Linked DNA regions of Macaca fascicularis. The protein of the gene in region 2 interacts with the protein of the main gene of each other region in a biochemical or structural test. Links are inferred from orthologs where the notes say so. Each region holds a gene or a part of one and is shown on either strand. Other genes may lie near its edges.

What was found.
Region 1: of the proteins of CCND1 (region 2) and RB1, one has a biochemical effect on the other in vitro, tested with the Homo sapiens proteins (15 studies listed by BioGRID, with this or other methods). The link is inferred for Macaca fascicularis from reciprocal best matches to the Homo sapiens genes CCND1 and RB1.
Region 3: the proteins of CCND1 (region 2) and CDKN1C form a complex in vitro, tested with the Homo sapiens proteins (2 studies listed by BioGRID). The link is inferred for Macaca fascicularis from reciprocal best matches to the Homo sapiens genes CCND1 and CDKN1C.
Region 4: the proteins of CCND1 (region 2) and CDK6 form a complex in vitro, tested with the Homo sapiens proteins (3 studies listed by BioGRID and IntAct, with this or other methods). The link is inferred for Macaca fascicularis from reciprocal best matches to the Homo sapiens genes CCND1 and CDK6.
Region 5: the proteins of CCND1 (region 2) and ESR1 form a complex in vitro, tested with the Homo sapiens proteins (2 studies listed by BioGRID). The link is inferred for Macaca fascicularis from reciprocal best matches to the Homo sapiens genes CCND1 and ESR1.
Region 6: of the proteins of CCND1 (region 2) and CRYAB, one has a biochemical effect on the other in vitro, tested with the Homo sapiens proteins (2 studies listed by BioGRID, with this or other methods). The link is inferred for Macaca fascicularis from reciprocal best matches to the Homo sapiens genes CCND1 and CRYAB.
Region 7: the proteins of CCND1 (region 2) and EP300 form a complex in vitro, tested with the Homo sapiens proteins (2 studies listed by BioGRID). The link is inferred for Macaca fascicularis from reciprocal best matches to the Homo sapiens genes CCND1 and EP300.

The regions. Positions count from the first base shown.
Region 1 is NC_088391.1:27,436,600-27,440,099, forward strand, and holds part of RB1 (retinoblastoma-associated protein), read left to right. Parts: intron 1-546; coding exon 547-673; intron 674-3,500. UniProt on the Homo sapiens protein: Tumor suppressor that is a key regulator of the G1/S transition of the cell cycle. The hypophosphorylated form binds transcription regulators of the E2F family, preventing transcription of E2F-responsive genes.
Region 2 is NC_088388.1:5,018,136-5,022,372, reverse strand, and holds the start of CCND1 (G1/S-specific cyclin-D1), read left to right. Parts: upstream 1-1,437; 5' UTR 1,438-1,595; coding exon 1,596-1,793; intron 1,794-3,323; coding exon 3,324-3,539; intron 3,540-4,125; coding exon 4,126-4,237. UniProt on the Homo sapiens protein: Regulatory component of the cyclin D1-CDK4 (DC) complex that phosphorylates and inhibits members of the retinoblastoma (RB) protein family including RB1 and regulates the cell-cycle during G(1)/S transition.
Region 3 is NC_088388.1:2,803,911-2,808,200, reverse strand, and holds CDKN1C (cyclin-dependent kinase inhibitor 1C), read left to right. Parts: upstream 1-1,490; 5' UTR 1,491-1,590; coding exon 1,591-2,458; intron 2,459-2,993; coding exon 2,994-3,124; coding exon of another isoform or gene 3,125-3,129; intron 3,130-3,211; coding exon of another isoform or gene 3,212-3,353; 3' UTR 3,354-3,909; downstream 3,910-4,290. UniProt on the Homo sapiens protein: Potent tight-binding inhibitor of several G1 cyclin/CDK complexes (cyclin E-CDK2, cyclin D2-CDK4, and cyclin A-CDK2) and, to lesser extent, of the mitotic cyclin B-CDC2. Negative regulator of cell proliferation.
Region 4 is NC_088377.1:128,509,896-128,514,147, forward strand, and holds the start of CDK6 (cyclin-dependent kinase 6), read left to right. Parts: upstream 1-1,452; 5' UTR 1,453-1,544; intron 1,545-4,089; exon of another isoform or gene 4,090-4,252. UniProt on the Homo sapiens protein: Serine/threonine-protein kinase involved in the control of the cell cycle and differentiation; promotes G1/S transition. Phosphorylates pRB/RB1 and NPM1.
Region 5 is NC_088378.1:59,861,242-59,865,259, forward strand, and holds the start of ESR1 (estrogen receptor), read left to right. Parts: upstream 1-1,218; 5' UTR 1,219-1,310; intron 1,311-4,018.
Region 6 is NC_088388.1:110,836,565-110,840,641, forward strand, and holds the start of CRYAB (alpha-crystallin B chain), read right to left. Parts: upstream 2,801-4,077; 5' UTR 2,755-2,800; coding exon 2,554-2,754; intron 1,764-2,553; exon of another isoform or gene 1,695-1,763; intron 1,473-1,694; coding exon 1,350-1,472; intron 16-1,349; coding exon 1-15. Other genes in the region: HSPB2 (heat shock protein beta-2), read left to right, coding at 3,860-3,953. UniProt on the Homo sapiens protein: May contribute to the transparency and refractive index of the lens. Has chaperone-like activity, preventing aggregation of various proteins under a wide range of stress conditions.
Region 7 is NC_088384.1:10,442,487-10,445,986, forward strand, and holds part of EP300 (histone acetyltransferase p300), read right to left. Parts: intron 3,385-3,500; coding exon 3,220-3,384; intron 1,988-3,219; coding exon 1,826-1,987; intron 1-1,825. UniProt on the Homo sapiens protein: Functions as a histone acetyltransferase and regulates transcription via chromatin remodeling. Acetylates all four core histones in nucleosomes. Histone acetylation gives an epigenetic tag for transcriptional activation.

The DNA.
Region 1 (3,500 bases), on a different chromosome or scaffold from region 2:
TAGATGTCACATAGAAATTAGATGAATGAAAAGGAATTAGCCAACAAGAATTTATTGAATGCTTGTCTTTGTTAAGGAGAAAGGACAAAAATAAGCAGTCACATCATGTAAGATGTGCTAGTAGGGAGGTTATGTGAAACATTGATAAGAGTAGACTACAGCTTAACAAAGTTACTGGTGTTGAATTGTATAATATTATCTATGGGTTTTTATCTTCTTGTTATCTTTGTCCTATTTTCCCAAACAGCTTTAGCTGTTACATTTATTTTCCTTCACAGAAGTGTTTTGCTGCTCTGAAGTATATTTGACTTACCATGCAAGCAAATATTTTTCACTGTGTGGTATCCTTGTTTTGGAATGACCATGAAAAAGATAATCATGTTTAAATTTGAAGTGTAATTTTTTCTATGATAAAATAAGATCTTAAAGTATTTAATAATGTTCTCTTTCACAGTAGTGTTATGTGCAAACTATTGAAACAAGTGTGTACTGAATCAATTTGACTTATAAGTATATGCCAATTATATGATTATTTTCATTTGGTAGGCTTGAGTTTGAAGAAACCGAAGAACCTGATTTTACTGCGTTATGTCAGAAATTAAAGATACCAGATCATGTCAGAGAGAGAGCTTGGTTAACTTGGGAGAAAGTTTCATCTGTGGATGGAGTATTGGTAAGGATTTTCTTAAAATGTTTTGAAATTTTTTTTTCTCATTTTAAAAACAACTTCACATCACTATATAAAAATTGAAAGATAGAAGAATATAAAGACAATAAAAGCTAATAATAATTTCACTACCCAGAGGAAATTTACCTCTGCTAACATTAAACATGTTTGAGGCTGGGCACGGTGGCTCACGCCTGTAATCCTAGCACTGTGGGAGGCCGAGGCAGGCAGATTGCCTGAGCTCAGGAGTTTGAGACCAGCCTGGGCAACATGGTGAAACCCTGTCTCTACTAAAATACAAAAAAAATATTAGCAGGGTGTGGTGGTGTGCGCCTGTCGTCCCAGCTATTTGGGAGGCTGAGGCAGGAGAATTGCTTGAACCCAGGAGGTGGAGGTTACAGTGAGCGGAGATTGTGCCACTGTACTCCAGCCTGGCAACAGAGCGAGACTCCGTCTCAAAAAAAAAAAAAAAAAAGTTTGAAAAAAATCCCTCCATATATGCCTCCCACCAAACTATTTTAAAGCAGGTCTTAGTTATATTTTATTCACTATAATACAAGGACTTTTAAAAAAACACTGCCATACCTTATAAAATAATTTTTATACCTTCTAATATGCAATCAGTGTTCAGATTTCCTGATTGACTCAGAATTAGTTTTGTTAGAATTCAGGATCTTGAAAATATTTTGATATATTCCTTTCATGTTTTTCTTTGCATATGTATAAATGTATATGTTTAATAAAAGCAAATAATTACTAGAGTTTTATATGTACTGGGGCAATAGTATAAGAACTTTACATAGCCGGGCATGGTGGCGTGTGCCTGTAGTCCCAGCTACTTGGGAGGCTGAGGTGGGAGGATCATTTGAACCTGGGACGCGGAGGTTACAGTAAGCCAAGATCGCACCACTGCACTCCAGCCTGGGCAACAGAAGAAGACCCTGTTGCAAAATAAATAAATAAGTAAATAAACAAACAAACAAAAATAAGGCTGGGCGTGGTGGCTCAAACCTGTAATCCCAGCACTTTGCGAGGCTGAGGTGGGTGAGGTCAGGAGTTGAACTCTTGAGGTCAGGAGTTGAAGACCAGCCTGGCCAACATGGTGAAACCCCATCTCTACTAAAAATAAAAAAATTAGCCAGGCATAGTGGCAGATGCCTGTAATCCCAGCTACTTGGGAGGGTGAGGCAGGAGAATCGCTTGAACCCAGGAGGCAGAGCTTGCAGTGAGCTGTGATCATGCCACTGCACTCCAGACTGGGCAACAGAGAAGACTCCATCTCAAAAAAAAAAACACACACACACAAAACAATCAACTTTACAAATCTACAAATAACTCGTTTAAAAACCATTGAGATATGAAATATAAAATCTTTATTTTTACAGATGAAGACACCGAGTAGAGTGAGGTTGAGTAACTTGACCAAGGTCCCTAGGAAATAAGATCTCAAATATAAATTTGAGATTATACATGTAGTTATGTATAGTTACATGTAGTTACACATAGTTTTGTATTTTCCTGTTTTTTTCTCATATGAGCATTTTCTTATGTTATTAAATTTTTTTGTAATATAGTTTCTAGTGATAGTATAATATTTTAGCTGTTGGATATATTTTAATTTGTTAACTCTTACTGGATATTTGGGTTTTTTCCAACGTTTTGATGCTATAAAATAATGTAATAAACATTTGTATTTGTAAGACTAATGCCTGGCACAAAGTGAGTCCTTGATAATTTGTTAAATAAATTAATGAATGAATCTCTGATTATTTTATTAGAATAAATTCGTATAAGATGAATTACTAAATCAAAAGCTATGAACATTTTTATGACTCTTGATGATTATTGGTAGATTACACTTCGGACAGATACTTTTAATGAATTTACTTTCTCAAAATAGTAGTATAAAAGTATATATGTTTTTACTGATCTGATTAACACAACAGAATGTGTTTATGTATGTCCCATAAGAAAAGTGTTTAAAACCATTAAATAAAATCTCTGGCAGTAAAAAGGAGAAAACAAGTGTCATAATTTCCAAAGAATTGAACATAGTCTCACATTTCTTATCTAAAAAGAAAGGAATACTGAAGTATCTTGAATGTATGACTTGGGTATTATAATCCCCAGGCATCTAGTGTATATTTTAACTGACTTGGGTACTTCATGTACAAAGCTGTTTTTGTGCATATACAATTAAATGGAATCAGAGCTCCTTCACTTTTCTCTTCCTAAAATACTAGATTTTTGGTGTTCTGAAATTTTGGGATAGCTGATTATAGAGAGTATTAGTGAGTATACATACTGTAGTTTTCAATTTATAAGTGCATTGTGTTCCAAATCTGTTTGTAAGTTTGATATAGTAGTTAGGTTTCCAGCCTAGTTCACATAACTTATTTTTTTTGTACTAAACTATAAAAATAATAGTTTTAACAGTAGAGGCTCTTTTGAGCTTCAGAATTGAATACATATTTAAGCAAATATTACTGCTTTATTACCCTTTTTTCATCCTGGCTTTGTCTCTACCTTCCCTGGGAACTGGCCCAATTTAAATCTTATTTCCTAATGGAGCTCATGATGGGGACTAGGATGTGTGAAATTATTTATGGCTAGGTACTGGAGGAAGGTAAGAAAGGAATTTCTTGTTACTTTTGGGATTTGAGGTATGCTTTTGAAGGGTATAACAGAAGATGATGTCCTGTTGTTGTGTTATAAATCAACAGACTTTTCCTTGAAATATGATTTTAAGTGACAGTTAAGTTTTTGAGGGTTGGCCTGAGAATTTAATGTTCATTTATATAATAATATCTAAGGGAGAATGTGATAGAGTGTG
Region 2 (4,237 bases):
TTACTGTTAAGAGGATACGGTGGTTTGATGACACTAAACTATATTCAAAAGGAAGTAAATGAACAGTTTTCTTAATTTGGGGCAGGTACTATTAAAATAACAAAAACAAAAGTTAAGACAGTAAAATGTCCTTTTATTTTTTAATGCACCAAAGAGACAGAACCTGTTATTTTAAAAACTATGTATTTTAATTTACATCTGCTTAAGTTTGCGGTAGTGGGGACCCTCTCATGAAACCACGAACACCTATCGATTTTGCTAAAAATCAGATCAGTACACTCATTTGTTTAATTGATAATTGTTCTGAATTATGCCCGCTCCTGCCAGCCCCCTCATGCTCACGAATTTAGTCCCAGGGCAAACTCTAAAGGTGAAGGGACGTCTACACCCCCAACAAAACCAATTAGGAACCTTCCAGTGGTCTTGTCCCAGGCTGAGGCGACTAATATTTCCAGCAATTTAATTTCTTTTTTAATTAAAAAAATGAGTCAGAACGGAGATCACTGTTTCTCAGCTTTCCATTCAGACGTGTGTTTCTCCCGGTTAAATTGCCGGCACGGGAAGGGAGGGGGTGCATTTGGGGATCCCCGCAAGGACCGACTGGTCAAGGTAGGAAGGCAGCCCGAAGAGTCTCCAGGCTAGAAGGACAAGATGAAGGAAATGCTGGCCACCATCTTGGGCTGCTGCTGGAATTTTCGGGCATTTATTTTATTTTATTTTTTGAGCGAGCGCATGCTAAGCTGAAATTCCTTTAACTTTTAGGGTTACCCCCTTGGGCATTTGCAACGACGCCCCTGTGCGCCGGAATGAAACTTGCACAGGGGTTGTGTGCCCGGTCCTCCCCGTCCCTGTATGCTAAATAGTTCTTGAAATTTACACGTGTTAATGAAAATGAAAGAAGATGCAGTCGCTGAGATTCTTTGGCCGTCTGTCCGCCCGTGGGTGCCCTCGTGGCGTTCTTGGAAATGCGCCCATTCTGCCGGCTTGGATATGGGGTGTCGCCGCGCCCTAGAGTCCCCCCTTCTCGTGGTCTCCCCAGGCTGCGTGTGGCCTGCCGGCCTTCCTAGTGGTCCCCTACTGCAGAGCCACCTCCACCTCACCCCCTAAATCCCGGGGAACCCACTCGAGGCGGACGGGGCCCCCTGCACCCCTCTTCCCTGGCGGGGAGAAAGGCTGCAGCGGGGCGATTTGCATTTCTATGAAAACCGGACTACGGGGGCAACTCCGCCGCAGGGCAGGCGCGGCGCCTCGGGGATGGCTTTTGGGCTCTGCCCCTCGCTGCTCCCGGCGTTTGGCGCCCGCGCCCCCTCCCCCTGCGCCCGCCCCCGCCCCCCTCCCGCTCCCATTCTCTGCCCGGCTTTGATCTCTGCTTAACAACAGTAACGTCACACGGACTACAGGGGAGTTTTGTTGAAGTTGCAAAGTCCTGGAGCCTCCAGAGGGCTGTCGGCGCAGTAGCAGCGAGCAGCAGAGTCCGCACGCTCCGGCGAGGGGCAGAATAGCGCGAGGGAGCGCGGGGCAGCAGAAGCGAGAGCCGAGCGCGGACCCAGCCCGGACCCACAGCCCTCCCTAGCTGCCCAGGCAGAGCCCCAGCCATGGAACACCAGCTCCTGTGCTGCGAAGTGGAAACCATCCGCCGCGCGTACCCCGATGCCAACCTCCTCAACGACCGGGTGCTGCGGGCCATGCTGAAGGCGGAGGAGACCTGCGCGCCCTCGGTGTCCTACTTCAAATGTGTGCAGAAGGAGGTCCTGCCGTCCATGCGGAAGATCGTCGCCACCTGGATGCTGGAGGTGCGGGGCTTTGGGCGGCTCTCTTAAGACTTCCCTGCAACTTGTTGCCCAGACCCACGTTTCTTTGCTCCTCACCCCCCTCCCTTCTCTCCCGCTAGAACTTTGAAGTTTGCTGTGGTGTTGCTAGGGATCCGCATTTTAAAAATAAAAATTGTGGGTATTTTCTGAAGCAGGAAGGGGTGGGGGTGGGGGTGCTATAAGTTGCGTTTCGTGGGAGGGGAGAAGGGGGTTGGGGAGGGGTGCCGTCGGGAGAAGCCAGTGTCGGGGCACCCCAATGGGCCCGAGGGTGCGGGCTGGCAGGCTGAGTGCGCTTTGTGCCCCCCGCCTGCGCCCCAGCCCGGCTGCGCCTCCTCTCGCGGCCGCTGCGGCCGAGAGCCGCCAACTCCGGGGGGAGGGGGCATAGATTTGATTTTTAAATTAATATCCATGGACACGTATGCAAGGGCCGCTCGTGCCAGTATTATGCGCCATCTTTGCTCTTTTATTGCAAAGCAAAAGTGTTTATTAATAATTGGGGGCAGGGTGGGGGCGGGGAGCGGCCGCCGGGCGCTGGGGCCGCAGCTAGGGGCCGCGCGGCCGCCGGGAGCCCGCGGGAGGGGCGCAGGGACGCGGCATGGGGAGTTTTGGGGGGACCCCGCTCGGGAAGGGGGGCCCTTTGTTTAAGCAGCGAGTCCCGGGGCGCCCCAAATGGGCAGCCAGGGCCGGAGAGCACGCCGAGCTGCAAGGTCGCGTGGCCCCCAAGACGCCAGGGCTTGATCCCCGTCTGCAGGGATCTCGGCTTGGGGGACCTTCTCTGAGGGAGCCGGGGGCCTGGGAGCACATTTTCAGACCTTCGGTGGGCGCCTGAGGGGCCCGCAAGTATTTTTAAATAATTTTTGAAAGTGCGGCGTGGTGCCCTTGCGAGAGGGAAACGCCGCCCGCGCCCAGGGGGAAGGGGGGCCCCGGAGTTTGAATTCCTGGGGCTCCCCCCGGAGCCTGTAACGAACTCCCGACCCTCGGCCTGGGTAAAGGGTCGCCCGAGGGTCATTTTCAGGGTTTTTTTATGCACTTAGTTATTTTTTTAATATTTTTAAATATTTTTTGAAAAGATGACGTCTGGGGAAATGCGGCGCGGCGGCCTGGGACGCCACCTTTGTGTCTCGCAGGCGCGGCGCCCAACCCCGCGGCCCGTTCCGCGGCCCCGCACCCCAGTGGGTGTCGACCCTCAGTCAGAGGGACCACGGAGCTCCAGGGCGGGCCGGGGTCCCCAGGGCTGGCAGCCCGCGCCGCCGCGCACGCCGCCCAGCTGTGCCCGCTCCCGCCCCCACCGTGCCAGCCTCGCGGGGACTTTCCCTTTCAGTTTCGGGGAGGGTGGGTACTGGGGACGCGCGGGGGAGGGGGCGCATCACAGGAAGGTCCTTCCGCCCCCGGCCCCCACCCCTCCGCGCCCTTCAGAACTGGCGGTCCTGCCGAGCGCGATGGGGGGGTGCGGGGGCGGGGGTGGGGCGGCGCGACCTGGCGGCGGCGGTCACGGGCCCCGTGCCTCCGCAGGTCTGCGAGGAGCAGAAGTGCGAGGAGGAGGTCTTCCCGCTGGCCATGAACTACCTGGACCGCTTCCTGTCGCTGGAGCCCGTGAAAAAGAGCCGCCTGCAGCTGCTGGGGGCCACCTGCATGTTCGTGGCCTCTAAGATGAAGGAGACCATCCCCCTGACGGCCGAGAAGCTGTGCATCTACACCGACAACTCCATCCGGCCCGAAGAGCTGCTGGTAACCGCGGGACCCCGCCGCCCCCTGCCCCCCGAGAGTCGCACGCAGGATCACGGGGCCGGGGAAGGTGCAGGCAGTGGCGGCCGGCCCGCCTCTGACATATCTGCTCCCAGGGAGGGCGGCCCCGCCGCCGGGCGTCCCTGTCCCGGGAGCGGGCGGGATCCTAGCCGCCCCCGTCCCACCGCCCCCAAGTCGCTTGCCTGCGACTCCCACCGCGTTCGCGCCCGGCAGTGTGGCCGAAAAGTGGGCGGCGCGCGCCCTCCAGCGGCTGCACGAGGAGCGCCGCGCTCCGCACTGAGCCTTCTGTTTCAGGTGGTGGGAGGTCTTTTTGTTTCCACTTGCAGAGTCTTTTCACGCAGCGGGCACCTTTTCTGTTTTGATCTGGGATCGCGTGTTGCCCCGGCTCCCCGATACCACCCCCATCATTCGCCAGCCCTCCCCTCCCACCTCCAGGACCGCACGAGACGCAGGGGCCAGTGCTCTGAGCGGGAGGTGCTGCATGGCCCGGGCCCCCATGCTGCCGGCTTCCCCGCGCCCCCGGGCCGGCCCGCACCTCCCCTGATGGCCGCTCACCCTGTGTTCGCAGCAAATGGAGCTGCTCCTGGTGAACAAGCTCAAGTGGAACCTGGCCGCCATGACCCCGCACGATTTCATCGAACACTTCCTTTCCAAAATGCCAGAGGCGGAGGAGAACAAAC
Region 3 (4,290 bases), about 2.2 Mb from region 2:
TCTCTCTGGCTGGCTCACAGGCTCACCTGAGATAGGGGCTTAGAGCTCATGGGCTGCTGGACCCTCCAACAGGTGTCTGACAGTCCCCCTCCCGACCTGGGAGGCTCCCGGTTTCAGGAGGGGGCTTCCTGCCTCATGGTAAGTGGGTCAAAAGGGAGGCAGCGGGAAATAATGGTCTCTCTTGGTCTGGCCTGGCTGGGGTGAAGCACTGTGTGTGTGTGTGTGTGTGTGTGCGTGTGCGCACGACCAGGGTCTGTACCAGGAAGGGCTGCAGGCGGGGGAGGGGCATGCTTCTTCACAGCCCCTTCCCCTGTGACCTCGGGCAGATCTTTCACTTTTACCCAGTACAACTGCCTCCAGCTAGCCTGGACAGGCAGATTCCGGGGCTGGAGTGGTCCGGCCCAAGGCTGAGAAGGGCTGGGACCCCCGACAGTGACATGATGGGCTCAGCCTCTGTTCCATCTACTGGGCAGGGTGGACCTCCGCAGATAGCGGCTTCAGACTCCAGCTCCAGGGGGCTGGTGGGAGTCTCTCAAGGTGTCCCACACATGGTCCCACGGGGAAAGAGTGGAGCTGACCCCTGTCCTCCCTCCCGACTCGAGAGCTTTAGGGCCAGCAGGTGTGTGAGGGCTCCAGGTGCGCGGAGCCCTCGAAAGGACACCAGCCCAGCAGCAGCAGGCCGCGCGGGGGCAGCCGAAGACCCCATCCGGCGCAGGCCAGGGCCGAGCTGGCAGCGGCGGGTCCAAGCCCTGTCAGCTGGCGCAGGAGGCCCAGGGGCGAGCGCGGGACGGAGCTAGGAGCTGGGGTCCGGACCGGGCCGGGGTCGAGCTGGGCCTGGCCGGACACTGGACCCGCCGGGAGCCGGCCCCTGCCGCGCAGGGCTGAGGCCCCCGCCTGCAGACAAAGGAGCCGGCGGGGGGCGGGAGCGGGGGGGGGGGGGTTTGCAGGGGGGATGGGGCGAGGGGGCGGGGCGTCGCGGTGTCACGTTACCGCCCGCAGCGCCCTTTAACTCCCGCCCCCGCCCCGCTCACCGCCCCCTTCCCCTGCTACAGCGCGCTCGCCCCGCGGCCGCCAATCAGCCGCGCGCCCCGGCCGCGCGCCCCGCCCCTCCCCCGGTGGGTGTGCGCGCGGCCAATGGGCGGTGCTCTGGGGCCGGGCCGCGGAGGGGCGGGGCAGCGGGGAGGCAGCCAATCGCCGCGGTGTTGTTGAAACTGAAAATACTACATTATGCTAATCGCGGCCGGGCCCGCGCGCACGGGGGTGGGGCCCGCGCGTATAAAGGGGGCCCAGGCGGGCTGGGCGTTCCACAGGCCAAGTGCGCTGTGCTCGAGGGGTGCCAGCCAGGTCTGATCCAGCGAGCGAGCCAGCAGGCATCGAGGGGGCGCGGCTGCCGGCCGAACGAGACAGACGAACCCGACGCAGGAGAGTCTACCACCGGACAGCCAGGTAGCCGCCGCGTCCCTCGCACACGCAGAGTCGGGCGGCGCGGGGTCTCCCTTGCACCCGGCCTCCGCCCTCCCCTCCTCTCCTTTCCCCTTCTTCTCGCTGTCCTCTCCTCTCTCGCTGCCCGCGTTCGCGCAGCCCCGGGCCATGTCCGACGCGTCCCTCTGCAGCACATCTACGATGGAGCGTCTTGTCGCCCGTGGGACCTTCCCAGTACTTGTGCGCACCAGCGCCTGCCGCAGCCTCTTCGGGCCGGTGGACCACGAGGAGTTGAGCCGCGAGCTGCAGGCCCGCCTGGCCGAGCTGAACGCCGAGGACCAGAACCGCTGGGATTACGACTTCCAGCAGGACATGCCGCTGCGGGGCCCAGGACGCCTGCAGTGGACCGAAGTGGACAGCGACTCGGTGCCCGCGTTCTACCGCGAGACGGTGCAGGTGGGGCGCTGCCGCCTGCTGCTGGCGCCGCGGCCCGTCGCGGTCGCGGTGGCTGTCAGCCCGCCCCTCGAGCCGGCCGCTGAGTCCCTCGACGGCCTCGAGGAGGCGCCGGAGCAGCTGCCTAATGTCCCGGTCCCGGCCCCGCCGTCCACCCCGCCCCCAGCCCCGGTCCTGGCTCCAGCCCCGGCCCCGGCTCCGGTTGCGGCTCCGGTCGCGGTCGCGGTCTTGGCCCCGGCCCCGGTCCTGGCCCCGGCCCCGGCCCCGGCCCCGGCTCCGGCTCCGGCTCCGGCTCCGGCCCCGGCTCCAGTCGTGGCCCCGGCCCCAGCCCCGGCCCCAGTCGTGGCCCCGGCCCCGGCCCCGGCCCCGGCCCCGGCCCCCGTCCCGGCCCCGGCCCCGGCCCCGGCCCAGGACGCGGCGCCTCAAGAGAGCGCCGAGCAGGGCGCGAACCAGGGGCAGCGCGGCCAGGAGCCTCTCGCTGACCAGCTGCACTCGGGGATTTCGGGACGTCCCGCGGCCGGCACCGCGGCCGCCAGCGCCAACGGCGCGGCGATCAAGAAGCTGTCCGGGCCTCTGATCTCCGGTGAGCCCCGCACGGCCCCGCCCCGGCCCGGCCCGGCCCCGCTTTGTCCGGCCGGCCGGTCCCCCCAGCCCTCGGGGGCCTAGCTGGGTTCCCGCCTCCTCCCGTGGCATTAAAGGGCCCGCAGCGCTCAGGGCGCGGCTGCGCCCGCACCCCCCCTCCCCGCCCCGTTGTTATGTCCTCCAGCGGCTTTGCGCGGGCGGGGTGGGAGGCTGAGTCCCGGCCGCGACCCCCCGGGAGCGCGGTCTTCGCCCCTGGCGCGGGAGCCCCTCCCCGGGCGCGGCCGGGCTCCGTGAGCACGGCGCGGAGGGGGTTAAGCGCGGCGGCGGCCCCGGGGGGCTTGGCCGCGGGACAAGGGGAAATGCTTACACAGCACATTGCGCGGCGACGTAAACAAAGCTGACCCGCCGCGGACCTCGGCGCGGGCGGGGACGGCGCCCCCACCCCGGCCGGCCCGCGCCCCGTGCCCTCTCCTGGCCCCCTCTCGGGGCTCCGGGCCGGCCCCGCCCTGACCGGCCGCGCGCGCTGTCGCCCGCAGATTTCTTCGCCAAGCGCAAGAGATCAGCGCCTGAGAAGTCGTCGGGCGATGTCCCCGCGCCGTGTCCGGCTCCCAGCGCCGCCCCTGGAGTGGGCTCGGTGGAGCAGACCCCGCGCAAGAGGCTGCGGTGAGCGAAGTGAGTACAGCGCACCTGGGGGGTGCGGGGGGCTGACCCGCGGGGTCCCCGCCGGCTTTCCTGACCGCCCTTCTCCCCACAGTTTAGAGCCCAAAGAGCCCCGAGGGAACCTGCCGGGGCAGCGGACGTTGGAAGGGCGCTGGGCCTCGGCTGGGACCGTTCATGTAGCAGCAACCGGCGGCGGCTGCCGCAGAGCAGCGTTCGGTTTTGTGTTTAAATTTTGAAAACTGTGCAATGTATTAATAACGTCTTTTTATATCTAAATGTATTCTGCACGAGAAGGTACACTGGTCCCAAGGTGTAAAGCTTTAAGAGTCATTTATATAAAATGTTTAATCTCTGCTGAAACTCAGTGCAAAAAAAAAGAAAAAAGAAAAAAAAAAGGAAAAAATAAAAAAACCATGTATATTTGTACAAAAAGTTTTTAAAGTTATACTAACTTATATTTTCTATTTATGTCCAGGCGTGGACCGCTCTGCCACGCACTAGCTTGGTTATTGGTTATGCCAAAGGCACCATCCATCTCCCACATCCGGTTATTGACAAGTGTAACTTTATTTCCATCGCGGACTCTGGGGAAAGGGGTCACTCACAAGCTGTAGCTGCCATACATGCCCATCTAGCTTGCAGTCTCTTCGCGCTTTCGCTCGCTCTCTTATATTACTGTGTTTATCTTAAACTTGAAGACAAATCTGTTAAAATGGTTCCTGAGCCGTCTGTACCACTGCCCCGGCCCCTCGTCCGCCGGGTTCTAAATAAAGAGGCCGAAAAATGCTGCAACTCCAGTCTGTTTGTGCTTGTGCCTGCCTCCAGCTCCCTTCTCCTGCACCCCCAAAAGCTGGAGAGCTAGAACGCAGGAGAGAGCAGGCCAAAGTGGGCATCCCCAGTCCATCCAAAAGGGGAAGCCTCTCTCCTGGCTGGGCCTGGCCCAAATCCACCTGCTCCAGTTCCCTTATCTCAGGAGGGGCGGCCGGCCTGCAGTGCACCCTGCATTTATCACCTCCCACCTGCGGGGCTGCAGAAAGACAAGCGTGGGCTTCACATAGCCCCAGCAGGCAGGGAGCACAGCCCCTGACTTGCTGCCCAGACTCAGGCTTGTTTAAAGGAAACCATGAGAAACCCCTCTGCCCCCAGCTGATGGGCTCAGGACCCTGCTAGTTT
Region 4 (4,252 bases), on a different chromosome or scaffold from region 2:
AATTTTATAAAGGCAAAAATTTGATTTACTATGAGATCAGTAACATGGTTTTAAAGTCAAAAGATTTATAGAAGTAGTATGTCCAATTCAAACAGAATTTTGCCGGGTTTTAATTTTTCTACAAAGCACTGAAGTAAATAATTTTGTGAAAAGTTTTTCTTTAATATGTTTTAAAGGGTTTCAAGTATTCTACAGATAGAGATTTTGGGGAGAACACCAAATTCTTTCCAAAAAGACAGCTATTTCAAGTTTTCTTTTACTCCATTGTAGAAGGTTTTAAAGACTTTTTTTCTCCAAAAGCTCATTTTCACCTGAAATAATTGTATTCAAGGGTTTCTCAGCAGGTAAAGTATACATTCTTACAAGGTTTCAAATTTCAGATTTCCAATAATGCATTTAAACTGAGCACTCCTCTTTCTGTGTATGTATCTATTGTCTGCAGTTCTATTATTTACACTAAATTTTAGTCCTTTTAGCTCCTCTGAAATACGTTAGTGAACCCTCAGCAGTTACTAACCACTTAATAATTGTGAACCCGCCAGCCCCTTCAAGTAGATCGTTAACCATAAGAGTGCCTGACAATTTCCAAACCATACCCTCTGTCTAAAAGGAAAAGATAGGGCTTTGTGAGGCAGAAAGGAAGCGAAGGAAAACAAAACAAATGTAGCTCATGCTGAAAGTGAAAAGTGCTTGAACAGATTAGTATTTTCTTTTCTGCAAGGCATCCTGCCAAACTTTTTCTTTATTTTTTTAAGAGAAGAGTTATTTTTTGGTCTGATTTTTCAGTTTCTTGGAAAGTATTGGTATTTACCACCCCCATCGGCCCTTCATAATTATTGTTAGTTGTTTTGTGTTTTTCCCATCCGTCCACGTCACACAGTGAGGATACCCCCTGCTTCACCCTGTCAAAACCCCAACTCTGGGCGACCCTGGGTTTGGAAACTCCGCCGACTCCCGACGACACGTCCCACTCTCTCCCACTAACGCCGCTTATTTTAGTCGCAGGATCCCCCTACTACAGTTTCAGTGAAAGCCGGAAATTTTCATTTAACTCCCCTGCCCCCCCAACCCCCCCGCCCCGCGCCTTTCTAGCCCCCGACTCGTAGAAGGGAGCTAGGGAGCCCGGAGCTCGGAGCACTGCCGGGGCTTGGCCGCCTCCTTTCTCTCCGGAAGGCTTTAATTTGCACACTTTCTTGCCACTGCGCCACGAGCCCCCAGCCTCGCCGCTGGGTGGGTCTCCGGCAGAGTTGGCTTCTCGGGTCCCTGCCCCCACCCCGCGCGGTCGCCCCCGCTGCCTCCCTGGCTGGGGCCCCCAGCGCCGGCCAGAGCCCCGCGGCCCCCGTCCGCCCCCAGCTAGCGGCGCGGGCGGCGCCCTCCGCCTTCCCTCCGCCCTCCGCCGCTGTGCCCACCCCCTCGCCGGAGAGAGTGCTGGTAACTCCTTCCCCAGAGTCTGATTACCTGCTCCGCGAGGCCGCGGACACGTGCGGAGAGCCGACTGACACTCGCAGCCCCCTCAGGAGGCCCGACGCGACTGGGCCCCTCAGGTGAGGAGCTGTGCGCTCGGGTGGGTGGGCTGCGGGGTGGGGGGTCCCTGGGGAGATATGGGGGATTGGCCGGGGTCCGAGGCAGAACTGTGGGTGGGGTAAGTGGAGGCTGGCGGGGGGTGGGGGGGACCTGTGTTTCCCTGGAATCGGCTTTGGTTAACCCCTTACGAACTGAGACGGCGTTGGTTATGGGGGCCAGTTTTGGGGAGCTAGAGGATTCTAATCTGACGAGAGGGGGAGATCCTACGCTAGGGACACCCGCGACACCGAGATCCTGCTTCCACGTACCCGTGCGCACACACACTCACACAGAACACTCCTCATCCAGTTTCTCCAAACGGAACTGGAACTTTACTCGGACATTCACATAATAATTCACATTTAGGGTTCAAAATGCACTGCCTCTAGGGACTCCATGCTGGAGAATGTGCTTGCATTTCCCCCACGAAAACTCCCTCGCCAGCTCGCTGAGGTGTGGGTGTGGGCTCCACCTTCCCCTCCACGAGATAAATGTTAACGCAGGCTTCCTGCGGGCGTGTTATGCACAGAAGAGTGCACGCAGCCGGCCGGTGCCCAGGCTTGGAGCCCCACGAAGACGCACGTTTGCTTTAGTTTCCAAGTTTACTTTTATCATTTAAAATATTGGAGTTAAACACACGCCCCGTGGTGAGCAGCCCTTGTCCCCGCAGGGCGCCCGTCCGTGTGCATATGGGCGCATCTGCGTGTGCGCACACGCGGGAGTCGCGGTCCCCGGTGTGGCCTCTTGTTGCCGTGCTGGTGGCGACCCTTGTGGTGCTTGGCAGGCTTCGGGAGAGGCGCATGAAGGATTTCATTGAGTGTGAAGACAGAGAGCAGAGACAGAAAGCAGAAGGAGGCGGCTGCAGCCTTTGTAGTCGCGGAGGAATGCGGAAATGTTGAAGCACTATGTCAAACTTTTTTTGAAATGGGGTCAAGTCACATTCAGCCAGCGTGGGAAAGCAACAACAACAACAAAAAAAAAGTGGAGGAGAGGGGGGGAAAAGGCATTGCTGCTCCCGTTTCTCTCCGCCGAAGCCGACCGTCTGGGGGGCGAGTGGGGGGAGAGTCAGGGTAGTGCGGGGCCCGGCGGGGGCAGCAGGCGAAGTTCCCTGCGGGGGTGGGACGTCCCCGACGCTTCCTTCGCTGCGGAGCCCGGGGCTAGACTCGAGCGGGAGGGGGATGGGGGGACGCAGGAGAGGCGGGTTGGGCGGCCGGCGGCGGCTCCCCGGCTACCTGTGTGGCCCTCGACCTGGCTCAGACGCCCGGGCAGTCCTTGGGGGCTCTTTCCTCGGCTTTTAAGGAAAGTTCTGAATGGAGTGAGTGCCAGAAGCTCTGCTTTCGCCGCGGTCCGCTCCACGCGCTCATCGTGGGGGTCGCGCCGTTTGTTTAATTCCTGGCAAAAGGCGAGCGGGGCAGCGGTTGCGAGGCAGGTAATTCCGAGGTGCCCCGGGAATTCCGGACACGCGGCCAGCGTGGTGAAAGTCCTGCCGAGGCCGCGGCGGCCGTGGGGGAGGGAGGCTCCCTAGGTCCCAGATAGCTGCTGAATGGGGAGGGAAAGTTAGGGTACCCTTCTCCGGCGCTTTGTTATGCAGAGGGCTCCGGGGGCGTCCGGCTGCAGCCTGGACCCGGCCTTTAGCCGGAGAGGGAATGGGGCAGCCACCTCCGCTACCTACAGCGGGGTGGTCCTGGGAGTGGGAAAAGGTTCGCGAGTCCGGGCCCCGAGGGCAGAGACCTTGTTTCTCACCCCTGGAGGCGCAGGGTTTAACCCCCCACCCCCCACCCTTTGAAAGAGAGGTTGAGTTTTGCTCAGGTCGAAATCAATTTAAAACTTCAGGACGAGGCGCGATTAAGCTATCCTCTTCCTGAAATTATTCTTTAAGAAGACGACAAGCGAAATTGTGACGAACACCCCTTTCTCCCACCCTTGGGATCCCGTGGGGGACAGTGTCTCCCCTCCCCCAGGACCTCTCGTTCGCCCACCCCCGATTAGCCCCAACCCTCCCCGACCAGATGGCTGGTCTTCCCAAGGTTTCCACCAGGGAGGTCCTCCCAGTCGGAGAGAGAATTCCGTTTCCAACCGAGACTCCTTTACCCCAAAGAGACCATTTGTGTATGCGAGTCGTTTTTAAATGTCTCCTCGTAGAAAAACTGAAAGTAGAAAGAAAGGAAGCAATTTCTGAGCAGATGTCTGACCACCCCTTCTCGCACACTCACAGCATCGGGTTACAGGGTCCTGGGAGCCCCCACCCACATTCTGCGGCCCCACACGGATGGACCCACAGTCCTTCCGCTCCAGCTTGTGCGCGACCCTTGAACGCCCTCCGGCACCCCTGGACCCCATCTCCCTGCACGTCCGGGCCTCAGGAGGCGGGGAGGGTAGCGACGCAACACAATGATATAGGGATAAATATTAAGCCGTGACATTGACGTGCCCGGCGCCTCCCCTCCCCCGCGCTCCCGGCACACTCTGGGCTGCTCGGCACGCCCCCTCCCGTTCCACTGCGTCCCGCGCCGCTCGCTCATCCCCGAGGGGCCCCTGCAACCTCTCCGCGCGAAGACGGCTTCAGCCCTGCAGGGAAAGAAAAGTAACTTCGCTTTTCTCGGAGGAACCAGGAAGGATTAAGCGGCTTGGGAGAGGGCAGGAGCGCGCGGAGGGTAGCGATGGAGGCTTCGTAAAGGAGGAGGAGGGG
Region 5 (4,018 bases), on a different chromosome or scaffold from region 2:
TTAGATAAAAAACATTATAGTAATAGAGGAAGTCATAAGGTTAAAGTTTCAATTCACCAAGAAATATCCATTCTAAACATGTATACATACCCAATTAAGCTGCCTCAAAATATATATGACAAAAATTTAGAGAATTGTAGAGTCAGATATAAGGATTGAAAAGGAAGAAATGAAACTAATTATTTTCAGATGATATATACATTTACATAAAAAACTCCAAAGAATCTTCAGATAAATTATTAGAAATTGTAGGAGAGCTCAGCAAGAAGGCAGGATATAAAATTAATATACAAAAGTCAATGTCATTTCACTATACTAGAAAAAAGACAATAACATTAGAAAATAAATCTAACATAAGATGTAGAAAAACTTATTAGAGGAAAAATTTTCTTGAGAAATATTAAAGAAGATCTAAATAAGTAGAATTACATCATATTCATGCATAAGAAGGCAACATTTTGAAGATGTCTTGTTATATATAGGCCTAGGAATAATATAGTTTTAAGTTATGTTATTTTGAACTGTAGATGAAAGAAAGCTCTTTTTTTTCCTTTGAGTATTTTAAGATTTTGAATAAAGTCATAGTGCTCTAGGAAGGTTGTAATATTTTATACTTCGCCAGCAGTGTTTGAGAATGCTTACTTCCTACATTATAACCACCATAAATATTTAAAACCTGATAGCACACAGTTTTAAAAATTTGAAATTCTCCAATTAACAGTGACCTTTAAAAATTATGTTTACTGGTCTCCATTATTTTGTCCTTTGTAAATTTTTATTAGTTTTTCTGTTCACATGTTCCATTTTTAAAATAGACTTTTAAGAGCTGTTTGTATTAAGAATATTAAGGCTTTGTCCCTATAATTAGTATTTTTCAGAATATCCTTTCTAGGTACAGTTTTTCAGTTCTAGTGCACAGAATGGAAACTTGTTACCTGCTATACCACATTTTCACTAGGATGTGATGTATTTATCACAAACAACAGTATTGGTCAACATTTTCCCTCGCTGTGAAGTGCACATTTGACATCCTTTAGAAAAATTACTGACGGTTTTGAGACGATTGTTTTGTGCTTTCTTTCAGTCAACGTAATTTTCCCGAAAGCAGAGATGACTCTTCCAGACATGCTAACAATGCCTGAACAAACTGTGTAAGCTTAGTCCAAAAAAAATATTTGATTAATAGATTTTATTCTGGTAGATTCTAAGGTTCTAAGCAGTCAGAGAAATAATCGCAGAGCCTCAAATATCTCCAAAATCTGATACCAATCCCTTTGATTGTGAATTATATTCTGTAGCTACCAAAGAAGGTAAGTTTTAATTTTTTCTACTCTATTAACTTTCCCTTGGGCAACTGAATATTAAGATGACTATGTAAGGAGGTTATCAGACCAAGGCCTCACACATCAGGATAAAAGCACATGCCATAGAAAGAACATTTGTGTCTCACAAGGTGATACCAAGGCAAGGCTATGGGATATATATGGGCACAATGTTGATATCTTCAAAGACTTGATACATAGTCTGGAGGTTTTCAGAGATTTTAATTTATAATGACAATCTTTCAAATTAGGAGAATTTTTGGACTGTAAAGTTAGCCAAACAAGTCTTCAATGATAAAAAAAGTCTATATCTTACACAGGGGGAATACATTTTTTGTTCGTTTTAATTTTTTCTCTGTCTATTCATACAGGGGCATCACATGTCTTTATCATTAAAAACTCTGATTTAGATAGACAGTTGTAGAGAAATTTAATGTGTGGGAATTTAAAGTTGTTTTATAAAGATGTAGCAAAATATAAATTTAAGACCCACAGCACCAATGAAAAAGGGAAATTAATTAAACTAGACAACTTTTATGGGTACTACCCATTAAAATTAAAATTTTAGTCATTGTAAATTATATTACATTGTAACAGTTTTCAATCTGTTGTCAAGTTAAATATTTTGGGTGACAATTGTATTTCACAGTTGTTCACACTTTGCATAATTTTCTAAGGAAAATGAGTCCCTTGGGGAGAAAATTGTTCTAAAATTTTATTGTTGGATAATGTTGCTGCACTAACATGATTTGCTGAAGTGGATCTACCATGTGTGTTTAGGTTTTTGTTCTTTACGAAATGTGTTGGGTGAAATTTTCCATAACACTGGTGAACTTTTCATGCTAATTTTCCAGTCCGTCAGTTTAAATATTATGCATTTTTTCCTGCGAATCTATCTTGAATCTGAAAAGGCCCCAGAAGGAATTAGCATGAGTCCAGAGTAGATGGACTGCAAATGTTACTCATATTTCAACATGTATCCAGCTTTCAGAAATAGCTTACTGAAATCAAGGTTGAACCACATGAAATTTTGGGGTTTTTTTGGATGTAAAAAAGGTTAAATATTGACATTTTCATATCATCCAATCTAATATCTTCCTCTAGTGAGGTTCTGGCAAAAAAAAAAAAAAAAAAAAAAAAAAAAGTATGATGACCCGAGTTGTTCACTCTTTTAAGCTTTATATTTCAAAATATTTTTAAAATTTAAAGCCATATAAGTGCATCCCAAAAAACATGGGAAAATTTTGTAGGCTACTTTTGTTTACTGATTTTTCTTCTATAGATTTATTTTTATGCTATGCCTGACTCTCCAATTAGATTTTAGTCATCCAGGAAAGTACAATTGCTCGTACTTCTAAGCAATTCTCCCATCACCTGGACATTAACTGCAGCCCACACTGCAGTGTCTTGACTGCAGTAGGCACTCAGTAAATATTTATTGATGGTCCTGATTATGGGATGATGAAATATGCTAAAGGTAACTTAAACTTTTGTCAATAAAACTGAGTTTCAGGTTAGTTTGACCTTTTCCGTATCTCTAAATATTTTCTTTCATGTCATTTTTGTGAAATAGCTCACAAAAGTACTTATTGATTCTGAAATCCTTTTCCCCTCTGGTATTCCTGAGCTATTCTCACTCACACACAGCACACCAGTGCCATCGTTTGCTGTTTTGGTTAAAATCATTCTCATTAATATTCCTCATTCAGTAAAAATAGTTGATTCTCAGTTATAAATATACACTTCATATTGGCATCCAACTGTTATGTGGGATGGAAAACAAAATGATGATATTGACTCCATAAGATAAACAGCAGTCTTTAGAATAGAGTTTGGTGCATAACTGTTCTAAATGTATCAAAGTTATCTCATTTAATCCTCCCACACACCTGTGGGAAGAGAGTATTTGTCTTGCTTTACAGATAAGGAAGCTGAGGCTTAGAAGATTCATATGTCTAACTAAGATCACAGAGCTGGTAAATCAGCCAAGTTTGAGTCTAAATCCAGGTTTTAAATATCATATTACATGTAGGCATAGATAAGCAAGAACAGGTTTTCCTGAAGATGGCCAGGCTAAGGCTTAGAAGAAGGAAGCTCAAGGAGACTAAACCAAGATATGCTAAGGCAAGTTTTTTTGTTTGCTTGTTTGTTTTTGAGACCGAGTTTCGATCTTGTTGCCCAGGCTGGAGTGTAGTAGCATGATGTTGGCTCACCACAACCTCCGCCTCCTGGGTTCAAGTGATTCTCCTGCCTCAGCCTCCCGAGTAGCTGGGATTATAGGCATGCACCACCATGCCCAGCTAATTTTGTATTTTTAGTAGAAACGGTGTTTCACTATGTTGGCCAGGCTGGTGTCGAACTCCTGACCTCAGCTGATCCGCCCATCTCAGCCTCCCAAAGTGCTGGGATTACAGGCATGAGCCACTGCGCCTGCCCTGCTAAGGTAAGTATTGACCATTAGAGGAGATGACTAGTCCTAGTGACAGGTCTTTCCTACTGGGAGTCAGCCAAGAGCTCCCCACTTTTCTGGTTCCGTTGTTCCTCCTGCAAAGTTCCATTGATAAAGTGGTTTCCCATTTGATTGTCCAATGATGCAAATCTCCAGTCCTTTATAGCATTGAGTTGCTTATGGCCTTTTACCGTTGAGTTTCTCATGGCTAATGAATGCTATTGAATTGGTGTTCCCATTTATCTAT
Region 6 (4,077 bases), about 110 Mb from region 2:
GAAACCATGTTCATCCTAACCCAAAAGAATGAGGAAAGAGGCAGAGAGATAAGAATATGAACTACTATCACCTGCCCAGAACTCAGGCATCCTGATTTCCCCTTAGGTGAGACCAAATGCCATGACAACATAGGAAAAATAAACAGTGCTTTGTTTCAGGGTTGTGGCTAAGATGAAGTTACCTAGGTAGTCACTCCTACCAGTGAGAATCTGAGAAGTCTGAAACAGTACAACACTTCATTGTTTTTCAAACCCTGAGGCATAGATATGTTTAGGAGTATTTCCCAAAGGTTTAGATAATGTTGACTGGGCCTACAGAATTTGGAATCTCATTTAGAATCTGAGTCCCTGAGGAAGCCCTGAAATTGTCCTGACTCTTCAGGAATGTCCCAGAAGGTTCCAGAACAATAGGACTGCTGCTGGGGGAAAAAAAAAAAAAAGACTCCATCCAAGGAGACTATGACCCAAACCTAAATCATATGAGCAAAATTGAAACAGCCTGAGGACATTACTAAGGACAAACTGTACTGGTTGACGCACAGGTTCTGAGCTATCGCTGAGCTATCGTTAATTGGTGAGAAGGAATTTTAAAGCCCTCTTACAAAGTCATGAAAAGCTGTTCCATTCGTCAGAATTCCCCCAAAGAGTAGATGACCTTAACCCGTATGCCTGCTGACTCTCAAGCATGTAGCCAAACAGGCTCTCATTAACTGATTTCCGCATGGGCTATAGGGGATTAAAGACTGAGCACAGCTCTGAAATTTAGACAAACCAAGTAGTTCAGCATTAAGATGGGCTAAAGAAGAGACATGGATTCTTGCACAGCTAACAGAGAATTCACAACTCAAGTGCCTTTAGGGTACCTGTAGTTAATGTAATTATGCAAAGCAACTAGGTGTCTGACAGCCCTATACCTAAATCAGTGGTCCTCAACCTTGACTGTAGATTAGAATTACCTTAAAAAATGTTGATGCCCTGGGTCCCACCCCTAAAAATTCTGATTTAATTGGTCTGGAGTATGCCTGAGCATTAGGTTTTTTGAAAGTTCCCCTGGTGATTCTAATGTGGCCAAGATTCAGAACCTCTGGCTAAGATGGGGCATCAACATCCCATCATCCCATCTAAGGCGATCAAATCAAACAAAGACCACATCTCTGGCCATAACAACAGTAACAACAGCAATAGGTCTATCCCTAACTTAGTCTTCTAGACATTGATTTGTAACCCCTGATCTAGACTATTATAGCTTGGGACTGGAATGTAGCCAGCCTCCAAAGCTGATAGCACTACCTGGACTATTACAGTATACACTGAATGAATGAGCAGAAAACAAAAACCAAGCTACATACCTGGCGCTCTTCATGTTTGCCATGCACCTCAATCACATCTCCCAACACCTTAACTTTGAGTTCCTCTGGGGAGAAGTGCTTCACATCCAGGTTGACAGAGAACCTGTCCTTCTCCAGGCGCATCTAGAAATAGCAAGGTAAGGGAATGGGACGGGAGAAAGATGGCGAAAGTACTCATTATACTGGTGTTGTCTTATTCTGCAGAGTTGCTTTCTGTCCAGGTAATTCATCCTTCTCTTTTCTGCTTTAAAATATCCCCTTTTTAAATAAACATGGCTCTCTGCTTCAGGGAGCCACCACAGTGATACCTAAGGCTCATGGTGATCCGACCCAAACTTTATTTACAGGGACAGAGAAGAAGACAGATCACCCAGGGGACCAGTCGCAAGGATGGGTGCAGGCCTGGCATCTGCTGCCTCTCTGGCTCCGATGCCTGGCTTTGTGGTTTGTCTGTGAGACAAAGGCCTCTTCTTCTGGCTCAGGTCTCTTTGCCAGTTTTCCACCCACCCAATCTGGAATGTTCTGCTGGTCCTGCTTGTCCTTCCAAAGCCCTTGCCCACTCATCTCCTGTTTACTCACACTCGAATATTTTTAAACCAGAGCGTTATCTGTGACAGCTTCTGTCAACCTTATATGTTCACCCTGTTCTCTCACCCTCTTAGGACGAGTGGGGGTCCCTATATTGTTTCCTCATAAGGCTTGGTTGGACCCAGGCCAATGCCCTGTCACAGCCCTGAGAAACCCAGAAAATCACAGAAGAGGGAATAAAAAGGCAGAAAATGCCCATGAGGGTGAACAGCTCAGGCAGGGTGAGGCAGGGCTCTCTCCTGGCTCTGACACCTGAGATGGTAAAATTGGTCAAGAGTCCATGGTGTTAGAAGAGATGAGCAAAGGAGTTTGAAGGCAGCTCTTTCCCTGCAGATTGTTATGAACCAAACCAGAAAGGGGTACCCTGCAGAGAAGTTAGGGGATGGAGGATGAACTTGACAGTGCATGAAAAAAATGTAATAAATGGGATACAGAGGACCATCAAGTAGAAACAGGTGACGGGGGAGGGAGGAACTAGCAACCTCCTCATTTTTCTTCACATTTGGATACACATGTGCCTAAAATGGTTTAGGCAGGAAAGGAGAGGAAAATGGATGGAGAAGTTTACAGGAGGTTCCAGTAAGGACTCTCCCATTCTAGCAGTGGGGAGACTCACCTCTGAGAGTCCAGTGTCAAACCAGCTGGGTGCCCGCAGGAAGGAGGGTGGCCGAAGGTAGAAGGGGCTCAGGGAAGTAGACGTCGGGAAAAGATCAGACTCCAACAGGTGCTCTCCAAAGAACTGGTCAAAGAGGCGGCTGGGGGAGTGGAAAGGAAAGAAGGGGCGGCGGATCCAGGGGTGGTGGATGGCGATGTCCATGGTGGCTAGGTGAGTGTGGGGGGTCAGCTGGCTGGTCAGCTCCTTCAGCTGCAGCTACAGCCAGCCCCTTATATATGCAGTCTTGTGAAGCTTCTGGAATGGTGATGTCAGGGGTTTTATTATCCTAGCTCACCGCCGGTTCATGGAGACTTGTGATCGGGGATTTGGCAGTGTGACACATACCCAGTACTCACTGAGCTAAGAAAAGAGAAACACAAACACGTCTGAGCCGGCCAGTGACTTGTCATGGTCTTGTTTCACTAGCTTTCTGTACACACCCAGTGGCACCCACCCCCACCCCAGTTCTCTGAAGCTGGTACAGAGTCAGGAATCCCAAGCAGGCACGCGGGTGGGTGGAGGGGCAGGCGGTGGAGTGTGCCCCTCCTCCTCCTCCTCTTCAGTCCTGAATGCCAGGGGAATCAGGCCAGCAACTATCTTGGGCCTGGGCAGGGACTGGAATCTTCCTAGGCTGGGCCCCAGGGACATTAACTCTTTGTGAGTCCTTGGAAGAGAGCAGTGATGGTCAACATGCGGGTACCAGCCATCTGCCTCCTGCCCTGGGTTGACCTGGGTTTAGGAGAGGACTCCGACATCTGGGCAGAAAGACCCCACTCCCTGAAAAAAAGAGCAGAAAGATTTCTTGCATCTTTCATCCTATGTGGCTCTCAGAACATTAAATCCAGGAGTGCTTTAGGAATTGGGTGCACAGTGCCGGCCTCCAAGGAGGAGAAAATGAGGTGTGGAAACGTGCAAACCGTTTGTGAGGGTTTCAGCGAGGCCTCTTCATGCCCCAGGCACCACCAGCTCCCCCTTCTCAGCTCGTTCCTAACCAGGACCCTCAGCTGTCCTCTCAGGCCCCCTGCGACAGCTGAAGAGTGTGCGGGGGAGGGGACTAGGGGTCCAGGCGGCGCTGGTCACACCCTCGTTGCTCTCACTCAGGGCCCCCACTCCCCGCCCCTCCCCCCCAGAGGCTCGGCACTATTTTGGGTGGTGTCGACCCCGCCCCCACCTCCTATCGAGCCCTGGCTCTCCGGGCAGCTGGAGGGGTCGCGCTGCGCCTGTTGGGGCTGCACCTCGGACCAGGGCTCCCGCTGCATCTGCAGCCATGTCGGGCCGCTCAGTGCCACATGCCCACCCAGCCACCGCTGAGTACGAATTTGCCAACCCGAGCCGCCTGGGTGAGCAGCGCTTCGGAGAAGGTATGGCACAGATGCCACCCCCTTGCCTCCCACCCCCACCCCCTGAAATTCTGGGCTGACCTCCCAACGTTACTGGCCTCCACCCCACTCTGGGCTTAACTGATCTCCTGGGACCAGCCACCCC
Region 7 (3,500 bases), on a different chromosome or scaffold from region 2:
GTCACCCAGACTGGAGTGCAGTGGTGTGCTCTTGGCTCACTACAACCTCTGCCTCCTGGGCTCAAGCAATTATCCCACCTTGGCTTCCTGAATAGCTGAGACCACAGGCCCACACCACCACGCCTGGCTAATTTCTGCATTTTTTGTAGAGACGAGGTTTTACCATGTTACCCAGGCTAGTCTCAAACTCCTGAGCTCAAGTGATCTGCCTGTTTCAGCCTCCCAGAGTGCTGGGATTACAGGTGTGAGCAGGTAAAGCAGGCTAAGCATCAATGAGACTGGCGAATGCTTAGTTTTTTTTTTTTTTTTTTTTTTTTTTTGAGACAGTGTCTCTGTCACCCAGGGTGGAGTGCAGTGGCCAGATCTCGGCTCACTGCAAGCTCCGCCTCCCGGGTTTACGCCATTCTTCTGCCTCAGCCTCCCGAGTAGCTGGGACTACAGGCACCTGCCACCTCGCCCGGCTAGTTTTTTTTTTTTGTATTTTTTTAGTAGAGACGGGGTTTCACTGTGTTAGCCAGGATGGTCTCGATCTCCTGACCTCGTGATCCGCCCGTCTCGGCCTCCCAAAGTGCTGGGATTACAGGCTTGAGCCACCGCGCCCGGCCATGCTGAGTTAGTTTTACCATACTCCTCCTGCTCTCTTTTCCTGCTTTACCTTTTTGGTATCTTGAGACTGACTATAAATAGAACTGAAATGCACATCCTGTGATTTTTTCTCCCTTATTCAATAACTCCTTCAGAGTAAGAATGGTCTAGGTCAGGTAGAGCACCACACACAGTGGACATTTTGCCCCAAGGCAGTCTACTTTAAGATGCAATCCATGGTTTACCCTCAAACTAATTACAACAAACCAGACAAATCCAAATATGGAGACAGTATGAAAAACAACTGGCCTGGACTCATGAAGGTCCCCTGTGCAACTTTCCTGTGTAACTTTTCCTACAGGTTTGAAAGGGAGTGAAATGGATAAAAAATCTTAGTCCTTGTAGACAAAGCAATAAAATTCTTGTTCACTGAAGTTTGAAAAGAACTCGTTAACAACCATCAATTTTCATAACCATTAGTGTAAAAGGTATAAAAAGCTGGTATTATTATGTATTTGACATTAATTAGTATATAACTATAAATGCCTATTAAAGTAACAAAATGTAAAACATCACCTTAAGAAATTAGGAACTTGTGAGAAACTGCTGTATTGATAACAGATTATTCAACATCTGTGCACACTGGCAGCCACACTCACAGTGTCTCTGGCCAGCAATGTTCGCTGCTTCTGCCACCCTACAACCAGGCCAATACCTACATTTACAACCTAAATTGAATGTGTCCACAATTTAAGTCAAACCTATTACAATATATTCTAAGGGCTTTTCCCGACTGCCTAGGATTCTGTGGCATTACTTACTGCTTGAAATAGCTAGTAACTATTAATTGTTAATAATCATTACCTAAGTGAGGCAACCTCCAAAGTGCTGGGATTACAGGCATGAGCCACCATGCCCAGCGAACAGTGATTTTATTCATTTTTTTTCTTTTTGGAGATGGAGTTTCGCTCTCATTGCCCAGGCTGGAGTGCAATGGCACGATCTCGGCTCACTGCAACCTCCGCCTCCTGGGTTCAAGCAATTCTCCTGCCTCTGCCTCCCGAGTAGCTGGGATTACTGGTGCCTGTCACCACACCTGGCTAATTTTTGTATTTTTAGTAGAGACAGGGTTTCACCACGTTGGTCAGGCTGGTCTTCAACTCGTGACCTCAGGTGATCCACCACGCCTGGCCAGAAATCTTGCTGTTTTTCCCCAACTGCGTGGGTGGCTGCATCTTACCTCTTTATGCTTCTCCATGGTGGCATATAGTTTCTGTGAGAGGTCGTTAGATACATTGGGCATCCCAGGTTTCTTCTTGTTGCCCCTACTTAGGCTGCTCTTATTTTTGCTGGTTTTCTTATTATTCTTCTTTTTAGCATTTTTACTGTCTCCCTTGGTCACCTGCAGAGTAGCACAAAGGAGACAAGAAAATAAGGTTTTTGTTAAGTAATCTGGGAATAACACTATTGAATATCTCCATTCTTTGAAACTAGGTATCATAATCTTATGCTTGTATCTTATTTTACTAGCTGTTCTCTTCACTTATTCCTTCTCCTTTGTTATTTGAACTAATTTTCTCCCAGTGATCCTTCATTAAGGCAATGGCAGCCCTTTAGCTTTCTGCCTAGAAGAGGCCACAGAATGTACAGACCCTATAGATTGAATGTATCCCAGATTGGAGTTAGGGAACAAGGAAGGGTTGGCACTTTGGGGTAGTGAAGAGTGTATCAAAATGGGGAGCCAGAAGACCTTGGTTTTATCTCCTTCCACCCACATTCTAAAATGTATGAGCCCACAAATACTAAACGATAAGGCTGTAAGAGTTTGTTAAACTATTTAAGGGAGCCTTTTGTAAGTTAAATTCAATGGAGGTAATTCTAGATATGCTATAGGGAAGTAACTGGTGAGGTTACTAAGCCGTAATAACAGGTAAATTCTGGCTCAGGCCTGTTTTGCATAGCTAAGAATGGTTTTTACATTTAAAAAGAGCGTGTGTGGTTTTAGAAGAGAGAAAATATGCCAGAGATATGTGACACACAAGGCCTATAATATTAATAACCTAGTCCTTCACATAAGTTATCAGTTTTTCAGGATTTCCTTCAGTTTCTTTTATCATTTCACATTACTCATAGTCTGAGATACCATTTTAAAATGGGGTCTGATGTTTTGAAAGTTTAATACCACTGAAACGGAACCCTAGTAACCTTTCTAAGCCAACATTTCTTGCCCAACTTAAAGAGCTCTTTCACACCTGAGAGGTTTAAAACCCAATTGAAAGTTTAGGCCGGGCGCGGTGGCTCACGCCTGTAATCCCAGCACTTTGGGAGGCCGAGGCGGGCGGATCACAAGGTCAGGAGATCGAGACCATGGTGAAACCCCGTCTCTACTAAAAATAGAAAAAATTAGCCAGGCACAGCGGCGGGCGCCTGTAGTCCCAGCTAATCGGGAGGCTGAGGCCGGAGAATGGCGTGAACCCGGGAGTCGGAGCTTGCAGTGAGCAGAGATTGTGCCACTGCACTCTAGCCTGGGCGACAGAGCGAGACTCCGTCTCAAAAAAAAAAAAAAAAAAAAAGTTTAAATGCACTTTTGGATTAAATATTATAGAAGTTTCAAAGGAAACTCAATGCCCTTACATCTGTGCTTTCATTGCTGGTGTTTTCTTCTCGTTTTCTCTCTTCTTCCTCCTGTTCCAGTTCCTTAATGCTTTCTTCCAGAACATTGGGCCAGAAATCACCCTCGAAGTAAGGCAATTCCTTTGCACTTGTTAATCTATCTTCAGTAGCTTGTTTAAAAATATCCTGTGAAAACAAGCATGTACAAATAGGAATTCCTATGTTCTTTTAAAGCATTGATTATAAAGAATCATGGCTGACAAGAAACATGAAAGCTTAAAATGTCTTGAAAGCTGGCAGAG